Linked DNA regions of Sus scrofa. The protein of the gene in region 3 purifies or fractionates together with the protein of the main gene of each other region. This does not show direct contact. Links are inferred from orthologs where the notes say so. Each region holds a gene or a part of one and is shown on either strand. Other genes may lie near its edges. The genes, in order: RNPS1, PRPF8, PRPF4B, PNN, USP39, PRPF6 and SART1.

Region 1 (3,500 bases), on a different chromosome or scaffold from region 3:
CTGCTGGCTCTGCCACTAAACTGACTCCCAGGAACTAGAAACGTGGGATCTTTCTAGCCAGAAAACCATCTTTCCAGGCACATCCCCAAGCCTGCCCCTGAGTGAGAGCCTTCGTTCCTACCCATCCCCCTTTGGCTAGACAACTGATGAAAGTGAGCTGGATGGGACATAAGTCTCAGGGGCAGAGCTTCCGTGGCTCCGCTTATCGGGAGGAGTTGGAGCTGGAGCGGCTCCTGTGGCGGCGGCGGCCAGGGGAGCGGGATCGTCGGCGCACAGGGGACCTGCGCCTGGGGGACCGCGACCTGTGGGAAAAGGAGAAACCACATCAGCCACAAGCACACAGGCCAAGGAGCAGCTCTGAATTTAGGATGGCAGGGAACGCAGCCCCGCTCAGAGCAACTCTATACAATTTCATAGTCCAGCACCAAGTCAGGACAGCTCCCTCCGGGTGACACTGACAGCACCCCTAGGAGAGAAAGGAAGGTTCTGGAGACCAAAGGCACAAGCGGCAGGCTTCCTAGAGAGGTAGGCTGAACGCGGGCCTCTCCGCTGCTCCTCTGTTCCTTCCGGTTTTCTCACGGAGCAGGGGGAGGGTCACCCCCAGCCCCAGTTCCTCTATCAGGCAGCTGCTCTTCCTTTTCTCAGCTGGAAAGAACACGATGGACCCCGGGAGCCACAGATGCTGCGTTCCCCACGGAGGTCCCCAAACCACTGCCCTCCGTATTAAAGAAATAAACCAAAACTGACCCTCGTCAGTCCTCAGAGACAACAGCGACTTACCTTCTCCTCATCCGTGGGGGTGACCTGCGCCACATAGGAGGTGGTGGCAGCATTCTCCTGGGAGGGCTGAATCGCCTGGGGGGTGGCCTAGGCCAGGGGGCCAGCACGGCAGTGGCAGTGATCTCCTGGCCATCGATTTGTCCTGTTAAAGAAAAGATAAAACCACAAAATATCTAACAAGCACCTACCCTGGGCAAGGCTCAATGCCAAATGTGAGCAAGAAGGACAGAAGTGGGGGGACGAGGGCAAACGGTTTCATCAAGAAAACAAGGAGGGACTCTGTTGATGCACTGCGTGCTTCCTGGGGAGCGCTATCCAAGTCACACCTAGAGATGCGCAAGCTGGAACATGCCAAGGGAGAGGGCGGAACATGCCAAGGGAGAGTTAGAAACTCAACTTGCTTTTTTTCGGTCTTTTCTAGGGCCGCACCCATGGCATGTGAAGGTTCCCAGGCTAGGGGTCGAATCGGGGCTATAGCTGCCGGCCTACACCACAGCCACAGCCACACTGGATCCTTAACCCACTGAGAGAGGCCAGGGATCAAACCTGCATCCTCATGGATGCTAGTCAGATTTGGTTTTGCTGAGCCATGGCGGAAACTCCTCAATTTCCTTCTAAAGAGCAATGGGAAGGGGGCAGGCAAGGAGTGGGGAGACCTATCAGGGGGCTTGGGCAGGAGTGCTGGGGGTGAAATGTGGAAACCTGAGGGTTAACTGGGATGTACAATTTCCAGAACTTGGGTGAAAGATGATCACCACTAGGTTTCTGGATGACCTATGATCTCCTGAGGGGTGGGCCTGAGAGGAAGGGACTTCCTGGGAGGGCAGGTTCAGGAGATGTCAACGTTTATCAAGAGTCTGGAAATAGGAATTCCCTTGTGGCTCAGTGCTAACGAAACTGACTAGTATCCATGAGGACAAGGGTTCGATCCCTGGCCTCACCCAGTGGGTTAAGGATACGGCAGGGCATTGAGATGTGGTGAAGGTCGAAGATGTGGCTTGGATCCCTTGTTGCTGTGGCTGTGGTGTAGGTCGGCAGCTACAGCTCTAGTTCGACCCCTAGCCTGGGAACTTCCATATGTCAGGGGTGCGGCGCGCGCGCACACGCACACACACTCTCTGGAAACAGTGCCTCAGGGAGATGAGTCTGTGTACAGCCAGGACTAAACCACATGCATGAACAAAAAGAACAGTAAGGGAGGCAGCTCTGAATGGAGGCCCAAGGAACCCTGCAGGGCCTCAGGGAGAGAACGAGCAAAGGAAACCAGCAGAGGCCCCAGAATCCCATGGGAGCCTGCACCCTGACCTCACACTCCACAACTCAGTCCAGGAACTGCTCATGCATGGGACAAGCACAGCCCCTTATGCCCCCGAAGGGTGGAGAGCTCTTTCTATCCTCTCAGGCCTACTTTCAACTTCTGAGGTACTAAGGAGAGAACGCAGGAGCCTGGACCGATGTTCAGGATACTTAAACGCAGCCTCTGGCAGCTCCTGGCCCCTGGCCAAAAGCCTGTCCAAATCAGGGATCTCACAGGTGCTGACTATGCAACAGCAGAGACAAAGCCATCCCCTGGCCAGGTAGGTGCCAGTGAAGGCCAAGCCCTTCCACTTTCTTTCTGGAGACAGCATGCAGCCATTCTGTTCAGTGGTGCACAGCACAATATGAGGACACGAAAAACCCTGCCAGAGCTGAAGACAATACGGAATGTTCATAATCACACACATCCTGAACGTGTCCAGGTCTCCTGAAGCGAGAGCTCTGACTCAGTCAAACACAGACTGAATCTCTAAAACAGGTGTGACTCACAAGGTCAGGAGCCGAGGCACAGAGGGATGGACCGCAGCTCAGGCTCAATGCCCAGCACACTCTAGCGAGACTTAAGCAGATCAAAAGAGGGAGCACCTAAGTTTGTGGTATACAAACTCTACCAGAGCCCAAGGGCAATCACCCAAAAAACTGCCAGGCTACCTATCAAGTGTCTAACAGCCTCTGAGGGATTTAGACTCTCCTGTCCCTTGGCCTGGCAGCCCACATGGCACTGCGGGCAATCCCGGGCCGTCAGCTCCAATGGCCTGGGTTACAGCAGCAGCGAGCTGGGCAGAGACAAATCCCACATTCCTTAAAACGCCAACTTGAAGACAAAATGAAAATGGGCAATCTGAAATGAGGCACAAGTGTTCAAATGTCATTAAATTACTGTCCCAATACAAAGTGGCTTTAAATGTCATAAATAATTAAGACACAAGATCTTGGGAAATGGGTAAAATATGCGAATTCAGCAAAATTATTCTAAAAATGCTGAAATGTTAGCAAAACAGAAATTGAGTCAAAGAGGATTGGGGGGGGGGAGTTCCCATTATGGCTCAGTGGAAATGAATCTGACTAGTATTCCTGAGGACACAGATTTGACCCCTGGCTTTACTAGTTAGTTAAGGATCCTGAGATGCAGTGGCTGTGGTGTAGGCCAGCAGCTGTAGCTCTGATTTGACCACTAGCCTGGGAACCCCCACATGCCCTGGGTGTGACCCTAAAAAGCCAAAAAAGGGTGGGGAGGGTGAGAAAACATTCCTGGAGTTCCCCTGTGGTGCAGTGGGTTAAGGTCCTGGTATTGTCGCTGTAGCAGCTTGGTTGCTGCTGTGGCACAGGTTTGATCCCCACCCCAGGAACTTCTACACACTGGAGGAATGGAGGCAAAAAAGAAAAGATTCCCACATAAAAAC
Region 2 (3,500 bases), on a different chromosome or scaffold from region 3:
ACTTTCGTTCAGGAATGAGCCATGAAGAAGACCAGTTGATTCCCAACTTGTATCGCTACATACAGCCATGGGAGAGTGAGTTCATTGATTCTCAGCGGGTCTGGGCTGAGTATGCACTCAAGAGACAAGAGGCCATTGCTCAGAACAGGTGGGCATCCAGGAGGGCATAGCAGTCCTGTTTGGGGAGGGTGACTGTTGAGCCCCGTGTGGAGGTCAGAGAATGTCTCTCTCTCTTTTTTTTTTTTTTTTTTTTGGTCTTTCTAGGGCCTCACCTGCAGCATATGGAGTTTCCTAGGCTAGGGGTCGAATTGGAGTTGTAGCTGCTGGTCTACACCACAGCTCATGGCAACAACCGATCCTTTACCCACTGAGCAGGCAGGGATCGAACCCACATCCTCATGGATACTAGTCAGATTTGTTTCCTCTGAGACACGACAGGAACTCCATCCAGCATGTCATATTTTTCTGGAGTCAAGGAAGTAGGTTTTAGGGAGTCCCCACTGTAGTGCAGTGGGTTGATGATCCAGTGTTGTCTCTGTGGTGGCACGGGTTTGATCCCTGGCCCAGTGCAGTGGGTTAAGGATCTGGTATTGCCGCAGCTGTGGTGTAGGTTGCACCTGCAACTCAGATGTGTTCACTGGCCTGGAAACTTCCATATGCTGTGCGTGTGTTCGAAAAAGAAAAACAAACCAAAAAAATTGGAAGTAGGTCCTGTGTGTGACCCTCTTTATCCTTGGCGAGGGAGAAATGCTAAACTCTTCATACAAGCATACGTTTGGTCTTTTCTCCTTGGCAGACGACTGACCTTAGAAGATCTAGAAGATTCATGGGATCGTGGTATTCCTCGAATCAACACCCTCTTCCAGAAGGACCGGCACACGCTGGCTTATGATAAGGGCTGGCGTGTTCGTACTGACTTTAAGCAGTACCAGGTACGTGAAGGGGATGATGGAGAGAGTTTCCCTGAACTAGAATCGGTGGCCGTGAGGTATAGGTCACAGGTGTGGCTTGGATCTGGTGTGGCTGCGGCTGTGGGGTTGGTCAGCAGCTGCAGCTCCAATTCAGTGCCTACCCAGGGAATTTCCGTATGGTGCAAGTGCAGCCCTAAAAAGAAAGAAAAAAAGAATCTGTGGCCATGCCAGGAACCTAGGGCAGTGAGCACCCAGAAGCTTGACCGTACCTGCCTTGCCATGTAGGTTTTGAAGCAGAACCCTTTTTGGTGGACACACCAGCGGCATGACGGGAAGCTCTGGAACCTGAACAACTACCGTACAGACATGATCCAGGCCCTGGGTGGTGTGGAGGGCATCCTGGAACACACTCTCTTCAAGGGCACGTACTTCCCTACCTGGGAAGGGCTTTTCTGGTAAGGAGTCTGTTGTCCCCTTAGAGCGACCTCTCCTATGTCACACCCCTCTGAGCTCAATGCCTTCTGTGCCTTTGGTTTCTGCTGTGGTGTTTCCCAGTCAGCCAGCCCGGGAGGAGGGCAGTGTTCTGGGGGGTGGCAGGACGTGACTACCTTGTTGTTCTGCTTTCCAGGGAGAAGGCCAGTGGTTTCGAGGAGTCTATGAAGTGGAAGAAGCTAACCAACGCTCAGCGATCTGGATTGAACCAGATTCCCAATCGTAGATTCACCCTCTGGTGGTCCCCCACCATCAACCGAGCCAATGTGAGTGTGGTGTGGTCAGTAGACATGGGAGATGGGCAGCTGGAAACAAGAATTTCTTCTTCCTTGGTTATGTCCTGAGACCCACAGTCCCTTGGCCTCTAGTGTCACTCTGGTTTTCCTGTCAGGTGTACGTAGGCTTTCAGGTGCAGCTGGACCTGACGGGCATCTTCATGCATGGCAAGATCCCCACCCTGAAGATCTCCCTCATCCAGATCTTCCGAGCTCACTTGTGGCAGAAGATCCACGAGAGCATCGTTATGGACTTGTGTCAGGTAGGCTGGAATTGAGGGTGGAGGATGCCACAAAAACTCAAGTCAGGAGTTCCCGTCGTGGCGCAGTGGTTAACGAATCCGACTAGGAACCATGAGGTTGTGGGTTCGGTCCCTGCCCTTGCTCCGTGGGTTAATGATCCGGTGTTGCCGTGAGCTGTGGTGTAGGTTGCAGACGCGGCTCGGATCCCGCGTTGCTGTGGCTCTGGCATAGGCTGGTGGCTACAGCTCCGATTCAACCCCTAGCCTGGGAACCTCCATATGCCGCGGGAGCGGCCCAAGAAATAGCAACAACAACAATAACAACAAAAAGACAAAAAAAAAAAAAAAAACTCAAGTCAGCTTTCGCTTTGGAGTATGGGGAATGCACCCTTGAAGCTCCAAGGATGAAACTTCTCTTGTGGTACCAGGGGTCACATTATCTTAGCTTCTGTAAGTGGGCTTCCATAAACGTTGTAACCTTTCCACCTTGGCCTCCAGGTGTTTGATCAGGAACTGGATGCACTGGAAATCGAGACGGTACAGAAGGAGACAATCCACCCCCGAAAGTCCTATAAGATGAACTCTTCCTGTGCAGATATCCTGCTCTTTGCCTCCTACAAGTGGAATGTCTCCCGGCCCTCGTTGTTGGCAGACTCCAAGTAAGTGCCCTTTGACCCAGCCGCAGGCATCCAAGAACCTTAGTTTTACTGTTCTCCTAGCGTACTTGAGGAATTGTCCCTGGCTGTCTAACTTGGAGCCAGTGCTGCCCCTGGATCTTGCCATCATCCTCAGCCACGTCTGCTGATTCTCTCATGGGTCTTATTGATCTGGAACAGGCAGAGGGGTAGGTTTTGAGATGCAGATGTAGTGATTGAGAGTTCTCGCGGTTCTGGGGACATTGGCTGTGCTTGTGTCTGCCTGGAAGCCTACGCTTCTGACCCCTCTCCGCCCTCAGGGATGTGATGGACAGCACCACCACTCAGAAGTATTGGATTGACATCCAGTTGCGCTGGGGGGACTATGATTCTCATGACATTGAGCGCTACGCCCGGGCCAAGTTCTTAGACTACACCACAGACAATATGAGTATCTACCCTTCACCCACGGGCGTGCTCATTGCCATTGACCTGGCCTATAACCTGCACAGGTAAGTTGGGGCTGAGGAGCATGTATCCGTCAGCCTCATACTTTAATACATACACATGTTTTAAGTTTGTCCAGGTGAGATGAGATTTGGCTCTTTTCTCCTCTAGGTCACTGACTGCGTGTAATGAGCAGTCAGCCTGGCCAGCAGTCTTTTCTTTCACTATAGAGTCGCGATTTGCCTTGTTCCTGGGACTGCTGGCCTGGTCTTAACATTTCTTGCCTTGTCCACCCTCACAGTGCCTATGGAAACTGGTTCCCTGGCAGCAAGCCTCTCATCCAGCAGGCCATGGCCAAAATCATGAAGGCAAACCCTGCCTTGTATGTGTTACGGGAACGGATCCGTAAGGGGTTGCAGCTCTATTCTTCTGAGCCCACTGAGCCCTATCTCTCCTCTCAGAACTATGGTGAACTCTTCTCCAACCAGATTATCTGGT
Region 3 (3,500 bases):
ATTTAACTTGTCAGAGAAACAGCTTCACTATTTTTCTTGTAAAAAGAAATGGCATTCATTTTGTTCACCATTGCTCCCATCTCCAAAGCATGAATCAAATGCCTCCTGAATAAGATGTTATTAGGAATGTTCTTTGAAAAAAATACTTGAAAGAGGAAATTAAAGTAACATTAGCAGCTGGCGGTTGGTCACTCTATTTTAAAGTTGGCGCATGGCTGCTTACATCTCGCCGTATGCCCCACGACGACCTAGGTTGTTGGAAGGGTGAGACTTGTACGTTCCATTTAACCAAATACTTGATTAAATAGCCTCAAACACTCGCGCACTGTCTGCATTTTGAATGCAGCTTCGTTTCCCAGTGAGATTTGAAGGATGTTGCTCAGGTCTCAGTGAGCCCTGTCCCAGCCCAGCTCGGGCCAGACACAGCCTTGGCAACGTGCAGGGTTCGACTGCAAAGTGTAAAGGTTAAAGCGTAAACGAGTCTGTGCGGGATTTATATACGTGTTTATTGTTAACATGAACCATCCAAGAAGCCTATTAGATTCCTTAACAAGCAACCTTTTCCTCAAGCTTTAGAAGAAAACTCTTGCTAATGAACCTGACGAGCACACACTCGTTCACTGTCTGTGACATGTCATGGGTGTCATCGACTCATTGAGTTCAAGTTTCCTGGTTGACCTAGTCAGACTTCAGTGGTTATTGACTTTGAAATTTGCCTTGAGAGATCAGCGCAAGAGGCTGAAGGTCTGCTCTTGGCCTGGCACGAGGCGGGCAGAGCTCTGGGGCCGACCGAGCTGGCTCTAAGGTGCTAGTAGCGTCCTGTCGGTAACCCGCTCGTTGTTTCTTGCGTTAACATTCATTAAGTTGCGGTGGAAACAGGTCTCTCGGAGTGACCCTTCAGGGGCTTGGGCATCGTGATGTAGATCCTGATTCTAGAAGCTTTAGGAGCTCAGTCTTCTTTTAAAAGACATTACTTCTCTGTTGGTAAATGCTTAAGAATTTCGATTTGAAGCTACTTGGAAGATTTGTAAATTATAGGAAGCATTAGAAAAGGGTTAAGAGAGCAGATGTTTGTGGGGGAGGTGATTAAGTTTCAGCGATCTGGGGTATTGCAGTCAAGAAGTAGGCGTGTGCACCGGGGAAATAACTGAGCAAAAGCAGAATGTTTACCGTCAAGAGCAGAGAGTTGAGAAGAGTTGGCATAAGCCAGTGGTAGCCAGTGATACCATTTGTGTGTTAGTCTATCTGTCCAGGTCGTTTCTTTGACCCAGCAAATGCTTCTTGAGCGCCTTCTCTGGGTTAGCTGATCTTCTAGGCCTCGGGGATAGAGCAGTGAGCGGAACAGATCAAAATACTGCTCTCGTGGGGCTTATATGTTATCATCAGGAGAGACAACGACATCCTATGAGGTGGTGGCAATTTGGAGAAGAATGAAGCAGAGAGAGTGAGTGTATGTAGTGGGGGGTTGCGGTTCAAAAGACTTGGTCTGGAAAACTTGGCCGGTTTGAGAAAGTGTGACGTGAGTGCAGACCAGAGGGAGGCAGAGGAGGCAGCAGCATGTACTTGGGGAGAGCTCTCCGGGCACGGGGACCGCAGGGACAGCCCCGGGCCCGGGGTGGGGGTGGGGGGGTCTTATTGGCCTGGGGCAGCGGGGCTGGGGTGTTACTCCGAATGCGGGAGATGGGCGTCAGGTCTCACTCCCAGGGTGATATGACCTGACGGTTCACAAGCACCTTTGAGCAAGTGCAGGAGCTCTGACGTTGAATCAATACCAGTCTTCTGACCAGCATGATATGCCTGTGACCTTAGGCGAGTGCCACAAACCTCCTTGAACGTGAAGTGTCATCTGCCGTGGGGACATATGGAGAGCCAGTACTTCTCGAGCACTTTGTGTGACAGCAGTGTCATCACACACAGCCCGTCCCGCAGCCCAGCGTTGCAGTTCCTGGGCTCTGCCTGTCTCGGCCGTGTCCTCCCAGAATCCCATACATCTGTGTGGGAGGTGCTGGTGTAACAACCGAGTTCCTGAGTGACTGTTTCACCGAGTCAGTATTAATGACAGTTTGCTGTAGCCTGGCTTGGATTCCCTTTTTCTGTTAAGTATAACGGTTAACCTCCCCAATTATGTATTTCCTCTACTACGTTTGGTATTTGAGTTCAACCATTAGAAACAAATTACGGTTGAATCACTCTTCAGCTCCGTTCTTGCCACATACTTTTGAAATAAAACATTTCAGCGACTAACTTCATGTATTACATTGAGATGTATTTTATCATTACTGTTATTTTTTATGATTCTGAATGCGTGATAAATTATGTGACTTTTACATGTGTTTGATGCATTTATAGGATGGAAGATGCTGATAATTCGGAAAAGAGTGTAAATGAAGAAAATGGAGAAGTGTCAGAAGACCAGTCTCAGAACAAGCACAGTCGTCACAAGAAAAAGAAACATAAACACAGAAGTAAACATAAGAAACATAAACATTCTTCAGAAGAAGACAAGGATAAAAAGCATAAGCACAAGCATAAGCATAAGAAACACAAAAGAAAAGAGGTGATTGATGCGTCTGACAAAGAAGGTATGTCTCCAGCCAAAAGAACTAAACTCGATGACTTAGCTTTGCTGGAAGACTTGGAGAAACAGAGAGCCTTGATTAAAGCCGAACTTGACAATGAGTTAATGGAAGGAAAGGTCCAGTCTGGGATGGGGCTCATCTTGCAGGGTTACGAGTCTGGCTCTGAAGAAGAGGGGGAGATTCATGACAAAGCAAGAAATGGGAATAGGCCTAGTACCAGGTCTTCGAGCACCAAGGGGAAACTTGAACTTGTGGACAATAAAAATAGCGCAAAAAAGCGAAGCAAAAGCAGATCCAAAGAACGGACTAGACATAGGTCTGAGAAAAAGAAGAGTAAGGGCGGTGTCGAGATAGTCAAAGAGAAGACGAGGAGCAAGTCGAAGGAGAGGAAAAAGTCCAGAAGCCCCTCCAAAAGGAGCAAGTCCCAAGACCAAGCGAGAAAGTCGAAGTCTCCCGCCCTCCGAAGGCGCTCTCAAGAGAAGATTGGCAAGGCCAGATCTCCCCCCGACGACAAGGTCAAGATCGAAGACAAAAGTAAGCCAAAAGATAGGAAAAAGTCCCCAGTTACAAATGAGAGTAGAAGTCGGGATCGAGGCAAAAAATCTCGATCCCCAGTTGACGCGCGAGGTAAATCCAAAGACAGAAGGTCACGGTCCAAAGAGAGAAAACCACAGCGGTCTGAAACTGATAGAGAGAAGAAACCAGTTAAATCTCCCTCTAAAGATGCCTCTTCTGGGAAGGAAAACAGGTCGCCCAGTAGGAGACCTGGTCGGAGTCCTAAGAGAAGAAGTCTGTCTCCGAAACAGCGCGATAAATCACGAAGAAGCAGGTCTCCGCTCGTAAACGACAGAAGGTCTAAGCAGAGCAAGTCGCCGTCTCGAACTCTGTCCCCTGGTAGGAGAGCCAAGAGCCGCTCCTTGG
Region 4 (4,064 bases), on a different chromosome or scaffold from region 3:
AAATGTAGTAAGGTGAAAAGGCTATATTCATCCTCTATGAAGTTCTTTTAATCTCAATTACCCTCTTAACATCGTCATCCTCTGGGTCGCTTTCTTGGCGTGATTCTCTCCGAGTCCGACGCTCCCCGCCCAGCCTGACAAAGGAAAGAGAATTTAGAAGGAGCAATAAAAACTTTGATCTCTTTTACCTCTCAAGATGGTTAAGTTTTTGTAGTAAAAGACAGAAAAATAGTACAAATTGAGTATTTTCCCAATCTTATTCTTCTCATGACCTTTGTTAAAACTGCTGTTATTGTTAGTGAAAAGTTGAGTTTTAAGTGATATTGGCTGTCTCAGTTCCATCAGATACCAAGGGAACAGACTCGGGAAAGGGTATACTACTCAATTCTAATAGAGCCCTTACACAACAATATTTAATAAATATTTATGCTACCTCAGAAAGTGAAACATACAAGTTTGCTTTCAGAATCTTTTCATTCAACATACCTACTGACTGCCCCTTCAAGGTCTCTCTGTTTGGCTGGGGGTCCTCCTCCACTATCTGAGAATCCACGCCTGCAATATAAATGTCCAACATTATAAACACGTAAATGTATTTATATGAGAGAGTATTTCCATTTAGGGAACAGAATTTAGTTACAAATTAAAAAAAACAAAAACAAAAACCCTCCTAATTAAAGTAACCTTAGGGGCTCTTCTCCCCCTTCCCAACAACCCTGGGAGCTGTTTGCTTTATTTTTTTTATTTGTTTTGCTTTTTGGGCTGCACCTAGAGCATATGGAGGTTCCCAGGCTAGGGGCTGAATGGGAGCTACAGCTGCTGGCCTAAGCCACAGCCACAGCAACATCAGATCTGAGCTGTATCTGCGACCCATACCACAGCTCATGGTTCCTTAACCCACTGAGCAAGGCCAGAGATGGAACCTTCAACCTCATGGTTTCTAGTCAGATTCGTTTTTGCTGTGCTACGACAGGAACTGCTATTTACTTTCCTTTAATAAAGACTCTGCTGGAGTTCCCATTGTGGTGAAGTGGTTAACGAATCTGACTAGGAACCATGAGGTTGCAGGTTTGATCCCTGGCCTTGCTCAGTGGGTTAAGGATCCAGCGTTGCAGTAAGCTGTGGTGTAGGTCACAGACTCGGCTTGGATCCCACGTTGCTATGGCTCTGGTGTAGGCCAGTGGCTATAGCTCTGATTAGACCCCTAGCCTGGGTACCTCTATATGCCTCAGCAGCGGCCCAAGAAATGGCAAAAAGACCAAAAAAAAACAAAAACAAAAACCCAAAAAACTTTGCTTGCTTAAAAATAAATAAATAAATAAAGTAATCTTAAATGGTCATTTATCCCCAAATGCTTTTATAGCGCTTCTTTTACAACTATGGGAATAGGAGTTCCTGTTGTGGCACTGCGGCTGCGAGTCTGACTGGGAATCAATAGGTTGCGGGTTCGATCCCTGGCCTCGTTCAGTGGGTTGGGGACCTGACGTTGCTGTGAGCTGTGGTGTGGGTCGCAGGTGCAGCTTGGATCTGATGTGGCTGTGGTGTAGGCTGGCAGCTGTGGCTCCAATTGGACCCCTAGCCTGGGAACCTCCATATGCCATGGGTATGGACCTGAAAAGAAAAAAAAAAAAACAAAAAACAAAAAAAAAAAAACAAAAACCTATGGGAATAAATTGTTTGCACATAACTGGTACAGTCACTTCAATCTCTAGTTTGGAGTGTAAAGTTCCTGGATAACTATACAGAAAACTACATACAGCTCATCACATCTTCAAACTACGGAAATATCTCTAACGTTGACTCTACCACAAAATTTGTTTAAACCGATGCCTTAATTTAGTTAGTATAGTAAGTACCAACAGTCTTAACATGTGAATTAAATCCTAAGGAAATCTTACCTCAGCAATAAACTACCACGTCCTCTACCTCCACCAGGACCAGACAGGGCCAGCAATCTGGCTTGGATGGGCCTACAAAATATTTACAAATCAGTACAAAAATCGTATCTAACAGCACCAAACACCTTAAGGATGAGGTTCATCATCAAAAGAAAATAACCAGGAACGTTCTAATCTGACGGTTTCAAATCCACGTGTTTCAAACAGGACAGGAAGTACTGCATTAACTTCCTTGTTTTTCCAAGATCAGTACCACCGAAATTGTATTTACCTCGCTGCCAGTACACATTAACAAGCTGGGGTCAGGCCCGAATTTCGCCACCCCAGAGGAAGTTGCATGAAGCGGGGGACAGCGTCCCGGGAGGGTCTCCGGACCAGTGCCGAGTCAGGCGGCCCCAGGAGGAGAAAGGCTTTGTGCTGCAGTTCCGGGCCTACAGGGCCGAGGGCGGGAATCGGCAGTCCCGGCCTTCCCTCAGGACAGGAAACCATTCCGACGCACCCCGGCCCCGCTCTCGCTCCTCACACCTGAGCCCCAGGACTTAGGGTGGCGGTCTCGGAAACTCCCACCTCACGGAGGACGGGATTCTACTGCTGCCCCGGGAACAGGCCTCGATGTTCCAGCCTTCTCAGGGCTGACCGCTCTCCCCGCCCCCAATTCACCCCGGCTTCACGACTGCATTTCGGAGACGGCAATTTCCTATCCGCCCTTTACCTCACGTCATTCGGATCCCGCCCGGTGAGCTTGCGAATATTCTCATCTACGTTCTTTAGGCTCTCTTTGGCCTTTTCTAGCTGCTCCTGCAAAGTTCTCACTGCGACCGCCATCTTCTCCCTGCGGCAGGCTTCGAGACTGCTCTACAGGCCGCGCCTGGCTGTGTCGCGCCGCGAAACGCGAGAGGACTGACAGCTGGCCTCAGCCAATGACAATAGGAGTTGTATTTCGGCCTTAACCATTCAGCAACCGGAAGGGGGAGAAGCTGCCGGCCCTTGAGACTCCGGGCCAATGAAAAGTCGACCAGGCGGTTGTCTCCCTCTCCAGTTAGCCGCGGGTGGCTGGGCTCCGCTTCTAGCGCAGAGTCGGGGCGGGTTTGAGAGTCCCTAGGTCCTCCGAGACGTGCGCTTGCGGCCGTGCTCGTTTGGCCAGGAGAGCGGAGCTTTCTAGCCCTTTTAACCCGTATATGACGTGCCTTTTTTCATTTTACCACCTAATCGCATTAGAGTAGAGCGGAAGCGAGTCTATTTTCCCATCTTCCCCGGTAAATGATTTTCTAAGGACAGGGTGCGGCCATTCTGTTGGTGCGCATGCCCAGAGAGGGGGTGGGCGGGTCGGCTCCCTTAATGAGGTTAAACCGTAAAGAGCACCGCAAAGCAAAGAATGAAGACGGAAAGATTATTAATCGTAATAGATAACATTTACTTTGTTCTCTACACCGTGAAACACTTTATGTGCCTTGTCCCCCACAAACCAAAAGCTTAAATAAAATCTCTGTTATTACTGATACGGAAGTTGAGTCTGGAGATACTGTAATTGTCCCTAGGTCATGCCGGCCTGGGGTCTTCCTATGATCAGACCCTGGGCAAGGATGTACTACAAGAAAAAAGCGATGGCGAGGCAGGCATTAGCTTCTACACCCGGCCTAATGCTCGTTGGTTTAAGACAGGGTCCGGGAGAGTAGCCCTATTGTTTGTGTCCTCCACCTTCTGGTTCTGCTTTACCCCTATTGCTGACCTGAGAACCGGTTTTGTTCCAGAAATATATTTGAAAACTGCATCTCAGAAAGCATTTTCGGGAGTTCCCGTGGTGGCGCAGTGGTTAATGAATCTGACTAGGAACCATGAGGTTGCGGGTTCGATCCCTGCCCTTGCTCAATGGGTTAAGGATCTGGCATTGCCGGGAGCTGTGGTGTAGGTTGCAGACCCGGCTCAGATCCCGCGTTGCTGTGGCTCTGGTGTAGGCCGGTGGCTACAGCTCCGATTAAACCCCTAGCCTGGGAACCTCCAGATGCCGCAGGAGCGGCCCTAGAAAAGGCAAAAAAAAAAAAAAAAAAAAAAAAAAAAAAAAAAAAAAAAAAAGGAAGAAAGCATTTTCCTACGGAAGCAATGTTATGAATAATCTTTGTGTTCTCATCCTTTATCCATCAGCCAGTGCATCCTTGCACGAAGCAG
Region 5 (3,956 bases), on a different chromosome or scaffold from region 3:
ACAGTATTGGAGAATAGTAGAGAAGTGGATAGGGATCTGTCTGGGTTCAGGCCAGGCTCTACCATTTACTTCTCAGAGATCTCAGGCAAGTTACTCAATCTCTTTGTTTGTACCTGTTTTCCTGACTGTGAAACCCGTGAAAATTCCCATTTTATGAGATCCTCTTGAAACTAAACGAATTGATGTACCTAACACCTAAAAACACTTTAAGGATGGCTCGACAAATTTAGCGGTGTAGGTTTAACTCTCTCTAGAGGGCAGAGAAACTGGGGGTGGGAAGCTAGGGGGAAGGTCATTAACTGGGTTTGGGCTTCATGTCACAGGTATGTCCTGGTCGTCTAGAACAGTGCCAAACCTTTTTTTTTCTGTTAGATGGTGGGAATATGAGAATTCAGTATAGTGGGGGCAAACCAGCAGACAACTTCCTGCCGCTTCCCAGGTATGTCCAGTAATAGTGTTGCTTAACTAGTCTTGAGGGTCCCTGTTCTGCCGGGAGAACCACTGAGAGGCAGCTGGAGAGCGTCGAGGCGGAAGTTCCGGGAAGGGACGAGATGAACTGAGCCTTGGGGGTTAAGGAGTGTGTTTCTTTTTTTCGTTGTTTGTTTTTTGCCATATAGAAAGGAAGAGTGCGTTCAGGCAGAGGGCTAGAGGCAGGCGGCCTCACCTCGGTGTCGCGGCAGATACACCTGCAGGTCCGGCTTGCGGGGCCGAGTGGGCGCGGGCGTGTGCCGCCTCCTCACCTTCTCCTTGGCCGCCTGCTTTACCTTCTTGTCGTAGTCGTCCCTGCGGGGAGCCGAGCGGGAGTCAGGGACGGCCGGGCCAGGCCAGGCCAGGGGTGGCGCCGGTGGCGCGGGGCGGGGAGGTACCGGGCGAGCTGGTTCCGTCGAATGTGGTGGACGAAGCCGTGGCTCATGTCCAGCCGCCCGCCCGGCTTGTAGCAGAGGCCGGGTCCGGGCCCCGGCGCCGATTCCATCTGGAGCTCTGTGCGCGGAGCTGCGCCGCCTCCGCCTCAACGGCTCCAACGGCAGCCCTCCAGCAGGCAGAACTCCGCGCCACCCGTCGCTCGACTTCCGGCTCCGCACCCTGACGTCGGCGGGGAACCGGCCGACCGGGCCGAGCGTCACCACGCGCGGAGTTCCAGGCGTGAGCTGGGCTGGTGGAGTGGTGCTGGGAATGGGACGTGCGCGACTTCCATTCCCCCGGCGGGGCCTTGCCTTTTTTGTGACGTTATCAATAAGAAAGCAGGATTTAGGCTTACTGCTGATGCACCAGAAAATTCAGAAAAATACAAAGCACCCATCACAGCACTCCGTGATTTGTGTGGAGCCTTCTCGTCTTTTTTTCCCGTGATGAGATGCTGCGAAAACTCCATCATCAGCTGCGTGATCGTCTCATCTTACTCGTGATCTGCGAGGTCGTGAGGAGGCCAGTGCCCGGAAGGGCAAACTGCGGCGCCCCCGTTGCTCAGCCCACCCCCCTGCCCGCACCGGGCCCCTCGGCCCCTTCGCCACCGGTGGCGGGGATGCCCCCTTCCAGCCCACCCAGCGCCCACTGGTCTGACGTCTTAACTCTCTCCGTGAGAGGATCTAGAGCTTTTCAGGGGTCTGAGCCTGTGTCATTTTTGAATCCTCTTTAAAAAGAGACAAAAGATTAGAACAGGGATGGATTGATACATCCACACGATGGAATATCGCTGAGCAGTCAAAAATAACGAGCTGTTACACATTCAACAGCGTGGATGAATCTCAAAATAAATATGCGAGTGAACGAGGCCAGGGGTAAAAAGACTGGTTCTGTGTTTCCATTTAGATAAACTCTAGAAAGTGCACTGATCTGGAGCTCCCTTGTGGCTCAGTGGGTTAAGGATCTGGCATTGTTACCACAGCTGCTCTGGTCGCTAATGTGTAGGGGGTTCCATTTATGGCCTGGGAACTTCCATATGCCAGAGCTGGCCAACAACAAGGACAAAAACAAAAACAGAAAGTGAGTGCACTGAAAGCACGTCAATGGTGGGGGCAGAACACTTGGTGGCTGGTGGTTAAGTTCATTATCTCTTTGGTTTTGGACTGTATATGTACCTCCATTGATATTCAAGCAGACTAACTTATGTATTTATTTTTTTTCTGCTGCACCTGCAGCATATGGAAGTTCCATATGCACGTCAAATTGGAGCTGCAGCTGCCAGCCCATGCAACATCCACACCGATCCTCCACACATCATCTGTGACCTACAACTCAGCTTGGGACAACGCTGTATCCTTAACCCACTGAGGGAGGCCAGGGATCAAGTCTGCATCCTCACGGACAGTGTCGGGTTCTTAGCCTGCTAAACCACACCCGGAATTCCAAATTGCACACTCGTTTCATTTGTCTTTTTTATTTTATTTTATTTTTTATTTATTTATTTTTTTCCATTTCTTGGGCCGATCCTGCTGCATATGGAGGTTCCCACTAGGGGTCGAATTGGAGCTGCAGCTGCCGGCCTACGCCAGAGCCACAGCAACGCGGGATCCAAGCTGCATCTGCGGCCCACACCACAGCTCACGGCAACACCGGATCCTTAACCCACTGAACAAGGCCAGGGATCGAACCCACAACCTCATGGTTCCTGGTCGTATTCGTTAACCACTGAGCCCGGACGGGAACCCCTTGTCTTTTTAGGGCTGCACACGCAGTACATGGAGGCTCCCAGGATAGGGGTCAAATGGGAGCTGTAGCCGTCGGCCTTCACCACAGCCACAGCAACGAGGGATCCGAGCAGTGTCTGCGACCTACACCACAGCTCAGGGCAACGCCGGATCCTTAACCCGCTAAGCAAAGCCAGGGATCGAACCCCCGTCCTCATGGATGCTAGTCGGGTTCGTTAACCGCTGAGCCACACGGGAACTTCCCAAATTACACATTTCAAACGTGCAATTTATTGAAGGTCAGTCACAACTCAGTAGAACTATATAAACAAAGTAGTTCGTGGTCGCGGAAGGGGTCGTGGAAGTCTCAGGCCTTGAAGCTTGAGCTTTATCAGCGTCACTTGTCTCCCTCATCTCATCGTCGTTTGCATTTTCCTGTGATACCAAAAACAATCCTCTAAATGTGGAATTAGAGCCTCGGGGTCGCTCCACTGTATCCTGGTTCGGTGTCAGTCTCTGAGACACGGAAACTGGAGACGACCTTCCAATTCTGGTTGCAGGGCACAAAGTATCTTGAAGAAGCCTGGGGCCCAATGACAGCTTCCGGAAATTCCGCAGCTAGTAAAAAGTTCTTGTCTTTTTTAGAGAAATCATGGGTAAAGTGGCCGTAGCTCTCCGGCCCCCGGCCCCCGTCTGTCTCTGGGAGGGCCACAGCACCCCCCAAACTCACAAGAGGCGCAGTACTTCTTTGCGGCGTAATTTGTCCCTATCGGCGAGTCGTAGAGTCTGTAAACAGCGCCGTTTCTGATTGGCTGCTTGCCCCGCGCTCCGTCTCGCTCGGAGTCTGCGCCGGGCAACTGGGCCGGTAGTGGCGATGTCCGGCCGGTCCAAACGGGAGTCTCGTGGTTCGACCCGCGGGAAGCGCGAGTCCGAGTCGCGGAGCAGCTCGGCTCGCGTCAAGCGGGAGCGAGATCGGGAGCGGGAAACCGAGGCGCCGAGCTCCCGGAGCAGCCCGGTGCGCGTGAAGCGGGAGGTTGAGCCGGCGAGCGCGCGCGAGGCCCCGGCTCCAGTAATCCCAGCCGTGAGAGTGAAGCGGGAGCGCGATGTCGACGAGGACTCGGAGCCTGAGCGGGAGGTGCGAGGTGCGCGGGGCCGGGCGCGGGCTCCACTCTGGCGTTCTTCTTTTTCTCTTTACAATCTTCCTTCCCCACAAAGCGGTCACATTACACATGCCACCTGACTCGACTGCGTTTTAATAAGGGTAGTACTAGTCTTAATAATAAAAGTAGTTATAGTATTTCCAACAACAGTGAACAGCAGCTTTAGTTT
Region 6 (3,500 bases), on a different chromosome or scaffold from region 3:
GTGCCTCCACCACACTGAGTGTGCCCGAATTCCTGCCCTCGTGATTTAAGCCTTTTCGTTACGGGACATTTTAGACAGAAAAGTGTAAGAAAGACCTAAGATGCTCCCAGCCTCTCCAGTGAGAGGGGGAAGGGCCCCCACTCCCAGTCATTGAGGCCCCCCCCCGTCCTTTTTATCTTTTAGGGCCGCACTCTCGGCCTATAGCAGTCAAATCAGAGCTAGGGGTCAAATCAGAGCTGCAGCTGCTGGCCTACACCACAGCCAGAACAATGCTGGCTCCCCAGCCCCCTGAGCAGGGCCAGGGATTGAACTCGCATCTTCACGGATACTAGTCGGACTCGTTTCCACTGCTCCACAATGGGAACTCTTTGAGCCCTTCTGATCCTACCTTCCTCGTCACTGTTGACAGCACTGGGGGCCACGGCAGGCGCTACCCCACAGGGATGGGCTGTGGGTACAGAACTCTGAAGCCCTTTGAAACTCTGGTTTCTGTGTCTCTTCACTTAGCCTGGAGCAGGCACCACTCTCTTCTGTGCTTGTATTTCTGCAGGAAGAACCGAGGCCCTTTTGTGCTTAGAAACGTGGAGTTCTTCCAGAGCTCCCCCTGGGGGTGGGCCCGGCCCACACACCCACACCCTGGACCCTGGGCAGCGGTCACTTAATCCCATGGGGCCACATAGGCCCCAGGGCCTTTTTGTAACTGCCCTCCAGGGCCTTTGTCGGAAGTCACAGGGGGAACCGGGGGCTCGTGGGCGGCTGAGGTGGGGTCCTGCCTGCTTCCGGAGCCCCTGGTCAGGACGCACCTGCACTGGGTTCCCGGCCTCTGGTGGTTGAGTCAGGGACCCGGGTCTGAAGGAGGAGACCTCCCTTTTTCCCCGCTTCCTGCCTGTTTCCAGCTGGATGTCCTTGCAATCAGGAGGCTTGCTAACGGCCCAGCCAGGCTGCCAGGTGGCCCTGGGTGGCTCGGAGCCCTCCTGCAGGACACCTGCTCTTGGTCCAGGCTGTGTGGGTGTTCACACGTGCAGAGCCTCGTTCTGCTGCTTCTGGCGGCTTCTTATTCGCCTGGAGCTGTGCCGCCTCCTGTGCAGGAGCGCTGGCAGCACCTGCCAGCGTGAGGTCTGTGCCAGGCATGGTCTCGGCCCTGCGTGAGGCTCAGTAAGGACAGCTGCCAGCCTTTTCCTGTGATTGTCCAGGGGTCCTGACCCCCAGGGGGCACTGCTGCAGGCAGCAACTGGCTTTCTTGTGTCGCCTTGATGCGCACCGAGGCTGACATCACGCGAGGCCGGAGAAGAGGCCTAGAGGCCCGGGAGTGTTTGTGGCAGGTCTGTTGGGATGGGTGGGCTTTTGGTTTCCCTTAGTGTTTTACACATTTCCAGTGAGCGTAACTTTTTAAATGGAGAACACGTACGACACTTATTTTTTAATGGGAGCCAGCCTGTGGGGCAGCCGGTGCCCCTGCGGCCAGCAGGCAGCCTCGTCGCAGCCCCTCCTGCTTGCGTTTTGCTGTTGGTGCCCCCGTCCTGCTGGGCTTTCCCTCTGGAGACCTTCCCACTGCACGGTTTCTGGCGGGTGCCCTGCTCCCGGGTCGGGGGCGGGCCCCTCACGCCCTCCTCTCTCTGCCGTACGTAGTGTGTGGCCCACAACGCCCTGGAGTGCGCCCGAGCCATCTACGCCTACGCGCTGCAGGTCTTCCCCAGCAAGAAGAGCGTGTGGCTGCGAGCTGCCTACTTTGAGAAGAACCACGGCACCAGGTACGCCTGCTGCCCTGAGCGTCCCCCGAGACGCCAGGGTGCCGGGTGCGGGGTTTAGGCCCCACCTTCCCACGGGTGGGCGAGGGCCCGATTCGAGGGCCAGCCATCTGGCGAGGGGCAGAAGCTCCTGTGGCATTTGGAACACTGCAGCCGGGGCTATCTTGATGGCACCTTCTGCGACAGCGTTGCTGTTCTTTCACAGTTGAGCAGCCGGGGCACTAAAGGCTCCTCCCAAGTGCCGGCAGCTGAGCCAGGGACGCCTGGTGGTCTGAGGGTCCCGGGGGCGAGGCTGGAGCCTCAGGCCCCACGTTTGTGCCAGCGCTGGCTTCGGCAGTGTGGGCGGTGCGGCATTGAGGCCCAGGCGTGTTTTTCATTTAAGCCGTGCTAGATTGGGCTTGCGCTGCTTTTTGTGCTCTGAGGAGGTCCTTGACAATTTTCTTCAGTTGTATTCTTTAATTGAAAACACCTTTTGGGTCTGCCTCGTTGGCTGTAACTGCTGATTGAATTAGATGTTGCAACATCTGGAGTTAGCGGGCAGCCTCTGCCGGGCCCTCTGCGGCCGTCCCAGTGCCCGGGCCTTGCTGATCCCACCCGGGTTTAGCTGGGAGTTCTGAGCCCATTTCTTTGTGACGTTGCTCAGGCTTGGTCTTGAGCGTGTCTTTGCAGACCCGCTGCCGAAGCCCCGTTCCCTCCCCCACCACCAGCTGCTGTGTGTCTTGGGGTTAACTCCTTTGGGGACCTTTTGAGATGACCTTGCTGCTTCACCCTGCACAGGTTCCAGTCTGCAGCAGGGCCCCTCCTGGGGGATGTGGCCTCAGGACCGTCCCCTCCCCCATCTCTGGCGCCCTTGGCGTCTTGCCCGCTCAGAGGCTGACCAGTCGGGACCTGGGGCCTTGGCTCTGGTGTCAGCCTGCACTCTGTCTTGCTGCTGAGGCCCCAGGAGGTCGTCTGTGCCAGGGCTGGGGAGCCACCTGAGGCTGGGGGCTTCCCCCCGAACCCCCGGCTGGAGGGCTTCTTGCTCAGTAGTGACCTAAGATAACTTCCTTCCAGAAGACAGTTTCTCTGATGCCAAAGAGTAGACTCGGGTCGTAATCTTTATTGGCCGATCTGCGGTTAGAGATGAAAAGGCCCGTCGCCCAGGCCGCGGAGTTATCATGCTCCCAGACTCGCGGCTGTGAAAGACTCTCTTGAGAAGCCCTCCGCCAGGCTCGGACTGAACAATGCGCTGCTTTGTGGCGCCCTCTTCAGTAGTTGAGCTTAGAGCCTTTGTGGAGAGAGGCGATTTCCCCACACTCTCCCCGTCGTAAAGATCTAGTGAATCATTTACAGCGCCGGACTTTGAAGCAGTAACTGTCTCTTCAGTGCCCGCAGCCCGCTGCAGGCGGCCTGCGTGCCCTGCTGGTGACCGAGCCCTCTGTCTCGCAGGGAGTCCCTGGAGGCCCTGCTGCAGAGGGCGGTGGCCCACTGCCCCAAAGCGGAGGTGCTGTGGCTCATGGGTGCCAAGTCCAAGTGGCTTGCGGGGGACGTGCCTGCAGCAAGGAGCATCCTGGCTCTGGCCTTCCAGGTGGGTGAGGGGTGCCTCGAGGGGCTGGCCGAGGCCCCAGGGCGCCGGTGTCCCGGGCCCTCTGCAAAGCCCTTCCCCTGCCCGTGGACAGGAGCTGACCCCGGAGGGGCTGTGTGTGGTCAGGGAGCTCTGCAGGCAGATGGGGCCCAGGCGACGGACACCTTCCTCCCATTTGCTGCCACTCA
Region 7 (3,929 bases), on a different chromosome or scaffold from region 3:
CTGAGGTGTGAGCATGGCATCTCCAAGAGCAACAGCGGCAACTTGCCCTAGAAATGCTGGGTCCTAGAAAGTCAAGAGTGAATAGGACAGAATGGCTTCTGCCTTTGGGAACTCCCAGTTCTGGGGGGGAGGAAAGCGGAACTTTAAAGGGGAGCATAATCACAGACAGATGGGCCTCCAGATGGGGCAACTGGGAGGTGAGGGGTGTCAGGAGGGATGGAGAGATTGTGTGAACAGAGTTTTTGTTGTTGTTGTTTATTTGGCTGTGCCTGTGGCATGCGAGAGTTCCTGGGTCAGGAATTGAACCCAAGCCACAGGAGTGACCCAAGTCGCTCCAGTGACAGTCCCGGATCTTTAGATCTTTAACTCGCTGCGCCATAGGAGAATTCCTGTGTAAACTGAGATTTTAGCTTCAAGCAACTTCAAGTTAGAGCTCCTCTCAAGAGGGAAAAAAAAAAAGCAGCAGCAGCTCCCGCGAGCGCGCTCTCTCTCTCTCTCTCTCACACACACACACACACACACACACACACACACACACACACACACACACCCCGATGTGCTAAATTTTGCGTTCGATTTCAGGGGTTCACAGGCATGCAAAGGCCCATCTCGAGCTCCGTAGCAGTCAAAGCGCACGTTAAAAAAACCCAATTCAGGGACCGTGGGAAGGCAGCGTTTGCAGACAATATTAGTTGTGGGGGCTGGGAGGAGGCTGGGTTGTGGAGCTGAGGGTCTCAGGAGCAGAACGTGCTCCGTCCTCCTACACCTGATCGGCCACGACCCCAGGGAGTCTACTAGGAGGACTTCTGCTGGAGCGGCGGGCGCTGCAGTGAGCATCCCGTGGCTGAGGGTGTGCAAGCGGAGGGAAGCCAGGGAGGCCATGCTGGCTTAGATGGGCCCTAGGTCCTTCAAATTCTGGGATACGGTCTTCCCCGGACTCGAACGCGCCCCTCAAGCTTGAGCGCACGCGCAATCCGACCACTATGTCAAAGACCGCCGCTCGGCCAGTGCCGGCCGCGAATGCGCAGTCGGGCCCGATCCCAGCCTTCCCATGAGCCTTTGGGGCAGCTCCGAGGCAAAGGACGGAAGCAGCCGCTCTTGGTTTCCGGCAACGCGACGGCGCAGCCGGGCCCGACCCGGAAGTGTTCCCATTTTGCGCCGTCGGGGCTCGGCGGCGGCGGTGGCGGCGGCGGCGGCGGCGGCGGGGCTCGGGTGGACCTACCACCATGGGGTCGTCAAAGAAGCACCGCGGGGAGAAGGAGGCGGCCGGGACTACGGCAGGAGCGAGCACCGGGAGCGCCACCGAGCAGCCGCCTCGGCACCGGGAGCACAAAAAACACAAGCACCGGAGCAGCGGCGGCGGCAGCAGCGGTGGCGAACGACGAAAGCGGAGCCGGGAGCGTGGGAGCGAGCGCGGGAGCGGGCGGCGCGGGGCCGAAGCGGAGGCCCGCAGCAGCACGCACGGGCGGGAGCGTAGCCAGACAGAGCCCTCCGAGCGCCGCGTGAAGCGGGAGAAGCGAGATGAAGGCTACGAGGCCGGTGAGGGGCGGGGCCTGGGCAGGGGGCGGGGCGATGGGGAGGGTCTCAGGGTGGAGGGCCTCGGGGATGGAAGCCAAGCCCACAGGCCCAGCCATCCCCAGGCCCGTCGTCAGCGCATTTGGAAGGGTCTTGTTTTGATTATTTGGGATTAAGGGTTGGCTTTCTCTGCTAAACTCCGTGAAGGTGGAGATTTTCTCTGTTTTCCTTAACTGACACATCACAGGCACTCGCTAAATGTGTCGAGTGAACGCATGGAGTGGTACCATCGTGTGTAGAGGCAGGAGGACACCTGGTATTGGGCAGGTTATGTAGAGCTCATAGCAGAGACATGAGGCAGGGGTCCGAACACAGAGGCTCCTGCAAGCCTGTTAAGATAATTGAATTTTGTTGGCGTTCCCGTCCTGGCGCAGCGGAAACGAATCCGACTAGGAACCATGAGGTTGTGGGTTCGACCCCTGGCCTGGCTCAGTGGGTTAAGGATCCTGCACTGTCTTGAGCTGTGGTGTAGGTCACAGGTGCAACTCGGATCTGGCGTGGCTGTGGCGGTGGTGTAGGCCGGCAGCTGTAGCTCCAATTCGACCCTTAGCCTGGGAACCTCCATATGCCAGGGTGTGGCCCTGAGAAAACAAAAAACAAAAAATTTTGAACTTTGTTTCAAAAGTAATAGGGAGCCATGAATTCGAGCTGGGGAGCGAGTTAGTCGTATTCACGTTATCACAGAGAACACTGTGTTGAGAACTGGGTAAAGAGCAGTCAAGACCCATAGAGGAGGTAAGGACTGGCCATGGCTGGCACCAGGGCAGCAGCAGCGGGATGGAGAGTCGTTGACCCATTGGAGAGGTGTTTTGGAGGAGGAGGTGACAGAGCTTAAGCACTTGGATGACAGTGGGAAGGAGAAGAAGGAATTGAGGATGGTCCTTGGATTTTGGCTGGTGTGACCAGGTGGGTGGTAGTGTTGTCGACGGAAGTTGAGTTTGGAAGAGAAGCAGATTTTTTGGAGAGAGACAGTGAATTCAGTTTTGAGGAGTGTTGCATGAGGCACATGGGGAAACTCAGGGCTTGGGCAGGACAGAGCAGTTTGAGAGTCATAAGGGTTCAATGGCAAATGAAGTCCCTTGAGAGAGTGAGGATTGAGAAGCCAGGGTCGGGGGCAGAACCTCAGGAATGTCTACGTTTTAGTAGCAGGCGGAGCAAGATGGTACAAAAAAGGAGGTTGGATGTTCCCCAAAGCAAGAATACCATAGCATCTCATGTCATGGGATCTGTGGGCGTGATCAGTGGTGTCACACACCACAGGAGATGAGGCAAAACCAGAGTGGCAGAGAATCCATCGGATTTACAGACAAGGAGGCTGGCGACCTTGGAGCGAGCACGGAGGTGCTTGGGAGTCAGGGTCCAGGTGGGGTGGGAGGGAAAGACGTAGGTTGCGAGGTGGCCATGCTGGAGGGAGGAGCTCCAGCCGATGGCGTCCAGCTTCTGTGTGTGGCATTCTGTGTGTGACATTTGCTGTTTATGAGGTGGGTGAAAGAGCTCAGAAGCGCTGCTTTATTTCCTGTAGCATCCTCACAGCACAGGCGCCAGTAAGTGTATTTTTTGACTGTGTGAATTACACAGAGAGAACACAGATATGCTGCCAACATGGGCCCTGCCCTGTGAGCAAAAACAGACCTGGAGATGGCCGTGACCGTGCTGTGGAGTGCAGGGGAGAGGAGTTGGTGCTGATCAGGAATCAGGACTCCGGCCTCTGATTGTTGCGTTTGGATAGCATCTTGCTAATCAGAGTGAGGCCAGAGAGGGCCGTGTAGGTTGTAACAACAGAATACACAGAGGTGGAGAGGTGGCAGAGTGAAGGATGTGGCAGGTTGGACCTTTTGGATCAGAAGGTGTGTCGACAGCCTGGGAGTCAGGTAGGAGGAGCCCCTGGGATGGAGGAAGGCTGCTGTTCCCTGATGTCTCGGGGCAGATGGGGGACCCTCACCTTCAGCCCTGCGGCTGGAGCCAAGGAAGTGGCTTCTGGGCCCCGTGTTCAGCTCCTGAGCCTCTCTCTCTCTTGTTCCAGCTGCCAGCTCCAAGACTAGCTCGGGCGATGCCTCGTCACTCAGCATCGAGGAGACCAAGTGAGTACTGTCACCTTTATGCTACTGTGTCTTCTTCTGAGACGGGCAGCTTTGGGGGCAGCAGGTGGGTGAAGCTTTCTCATCGTAGAGCCTTCTGCTTGGGATTTGGAAGTGCCATAGAAACCATCTTAGCCAACGATTTGCATTACAGAAGTGGACACTCAGACCCAAGAGGAAGGATGGCATTTTCCTGGGTAGGGGCAGGCCAGGCCTTCCGCCTAATGCAGAGGCCAGTGCTCTTCTGAGCGCTGGGTCAGGCCCTCGGTTTGGGAC

Evidence for each region.
Region 1: the proteins of PRPF4B (region 3) and RNPS1 purify together in Homo sapiens (co-immunoprecipitation; 4 studies listed by BioGRID and IntAct, with this or other methods). This does not show direct contact. The link is inferred for Sus scrofa from reciprocal best matches to the Homo sapiens genes PRP4K and RNPS1.
Region 2: the proteins of PRPF4B (region 3) and PRPF8 purify together in Homo sapiens (affinity purification with mass spectrometry; 4 studies listed by BioGRID and IntAct, with this or other methods). This does not show direct contact. The link is inferred for Sus scrofa from reciprocal best matches to the Homo sapiens genes PRP4K and PRPF8.
Region 4: the proteins of PRPF4B (region 3) and PNN purify together in Homo sapiens (affinity purification with mass spectrometry; 5 studies listed by BioGRID and IntAct, counting the BioPlex papers as one, with this or other methods). This does not show direct contact. The link is inferred for Sus scrofa from reciprocal best matches to the Homo sapiens genes PRP4K and PNN.
Region 5: the proteins of PRPF4B (region 3) and USP39 purify together in Homo sapiens (affinity purification with mass spectrometry; 3 studies listed by BioGRID and IntAct, with this or other methods). This does not show direct contact. The link is inferred for Sus scrofa from reciprocal best matches to the Homo sapiens genes PRP4K and USP39.
Region 6: the proteins of PRPF4B (region 3) and PRPF6 purify together in Homo sapiens (affinity purification with mass spectrometry; 3 studies listed by BioGRID and IntAct, with this or other methods). This does not show direct contact. The link is inferred for Sus scrofa from reciprocal best matches to the Homo sapiens genes PRP4K and PRPF6.
Region 7: the proteins of PRPF4B (region 3) and SART1 purify together in Homo sapiens (affinity purification with mass spectrometry; 3 studies listed by BioGRID and IntAct, with this or other methods). This does not show direct contact. The link is inferred for Sus scrofa from reciprocal best matches to the Homo sapiens genes PRP4K and SART1.

The regions. Positions count from the first base shown.
Region 1 is NC_010445.4:39,745,558-39,749,057, reverse strand, and holds part of RNPS1 (RNA-binding protein with serine-rich domain 1), read right to left. Parts: intron 923-3,500; coding exon 781-922; intron 303-780; coding exon 203-302; 3' UTR 1-202. UniProt on the Homo sapiens protein: Part of pre- and post-splicing multiprotein mRNP complexes. Auxiliary component of the splicing-dependent multiprotein exon junction complex (EJC) deposited at splice junction on mRNAs.
Region 2 is NC_010454.4:47,867,787-47,871,286, reverse strand, and holds part of PRPF8 (pre-mRNA-processing-splicing factor 8), read left to right. Parts: coding exon 1-148; intron 149-796; coding exon 797-932; intron 933-1,196; coding exon 1,197-1,366; intron 1,367-1,539; coding exon 1,540-1,669; intron 1,670-1,794; coding exon 1,795-1,941; intron 1,942-2,418; coding exon 2,419-2,579; intron 2,580-2,875; coding exon 2,876-3,067; intron 3,068-3,303; coding exon 3,304-3,500. UniProt on the Homo sapiens protein: Plays a role in pre-mRNA splicing as core component of precatalytic, catalytic and postcatalytic spliceosomal complexes, both of the predominant U2-type spliceosome and the minor U12-type spliceosome.
Region 3 is NC_010449.5:2,385,505-2,389,004, forward strand, and holds part of PRPF4B (serine/threonine-protein kinase PRP4 homolog), read left to right. Parts: intron 1-2,349; coding exon 2,350-3,500. UniProt on the Homo sapiens protein: Serine/threonine kinase involved in spliceosomal assembly as well as mitosis and signaling regulation. Connects chromatin mediated regulation of transcription and pre-mRNA splicing.
Region 4 is NC_010443.5:169,724,385-169,728,448, reverse strand, and holds the start of PNN (pinin), read right to left. Parts: upstream 2,801-4,064; 5' UTR 2,724-2,800; coding exon 2,611-2,723; intron 1,971-2,610; coding exon 1,899-1,970; intron 556-1,898; coding exon 487-555; intron 135-486; coding exon 62-134; intron 1-61. UniProt on the Homo sapiens protein: Transcriptional activator binding to the E-box 1 core sequence of the E-cadherin promoter gene; the core-binding sequence is 5'CAGGTG-3'. Capable of reversing CTBP1-mediated transcription repression.
Region 5 is NC_010445.4:59,153,798-59,157,753, reverse strand, and holds the start of USP39 (U4/U6.U5 tri-snRNP-associated protein 2), read left to right. Parts: upstream 1-1,156; 5' UTR 1,157-3,501; coding exon 3,502-3,769; intron 3,770-3,956. Other genes in the region: C3H2orf68 (UPF0561 protein C2orf68 homolog), read right to left, coding at 665-783, 867-973.
Region 6 is NC_010459.5:62,846,509-62,850,008, forward strand, and holds part of PRPF6 (pre-mRNA-processing factor 6), read left to right. Parts: intron 1-1,629; coding exon 1,630-1,751; intron 1,752-3,176; coding exon 3,177-3,315; intron 3,316-3,500. UniProt on the Homo sapiens protein: Involved in pre-mRNA splicing as component of the U4/U6-U5 tri-snRNP complex, one of the building blocks of the spliceosome.
Region 7 is NC_010444.4:6,370,543-6,374,471, reverse strand, and holds the start of SART1 (U4/U6.U5 tri-snRNP-associated protein 1), read left to right. Parts: upstream 1-1,129; 5' UTR 1,130-1,226; coding exon 1,227-1,539; intron 1,540-3,598; coding exon 3,599-3,656; intron 3,657-3,929. UniProt on the Homo sapiens protein: Plays a role in mRNA splicing as a component of the U4/U6-U5 tri-snRNP, one of the building blocks of the spliceosome. May also bind to DNA.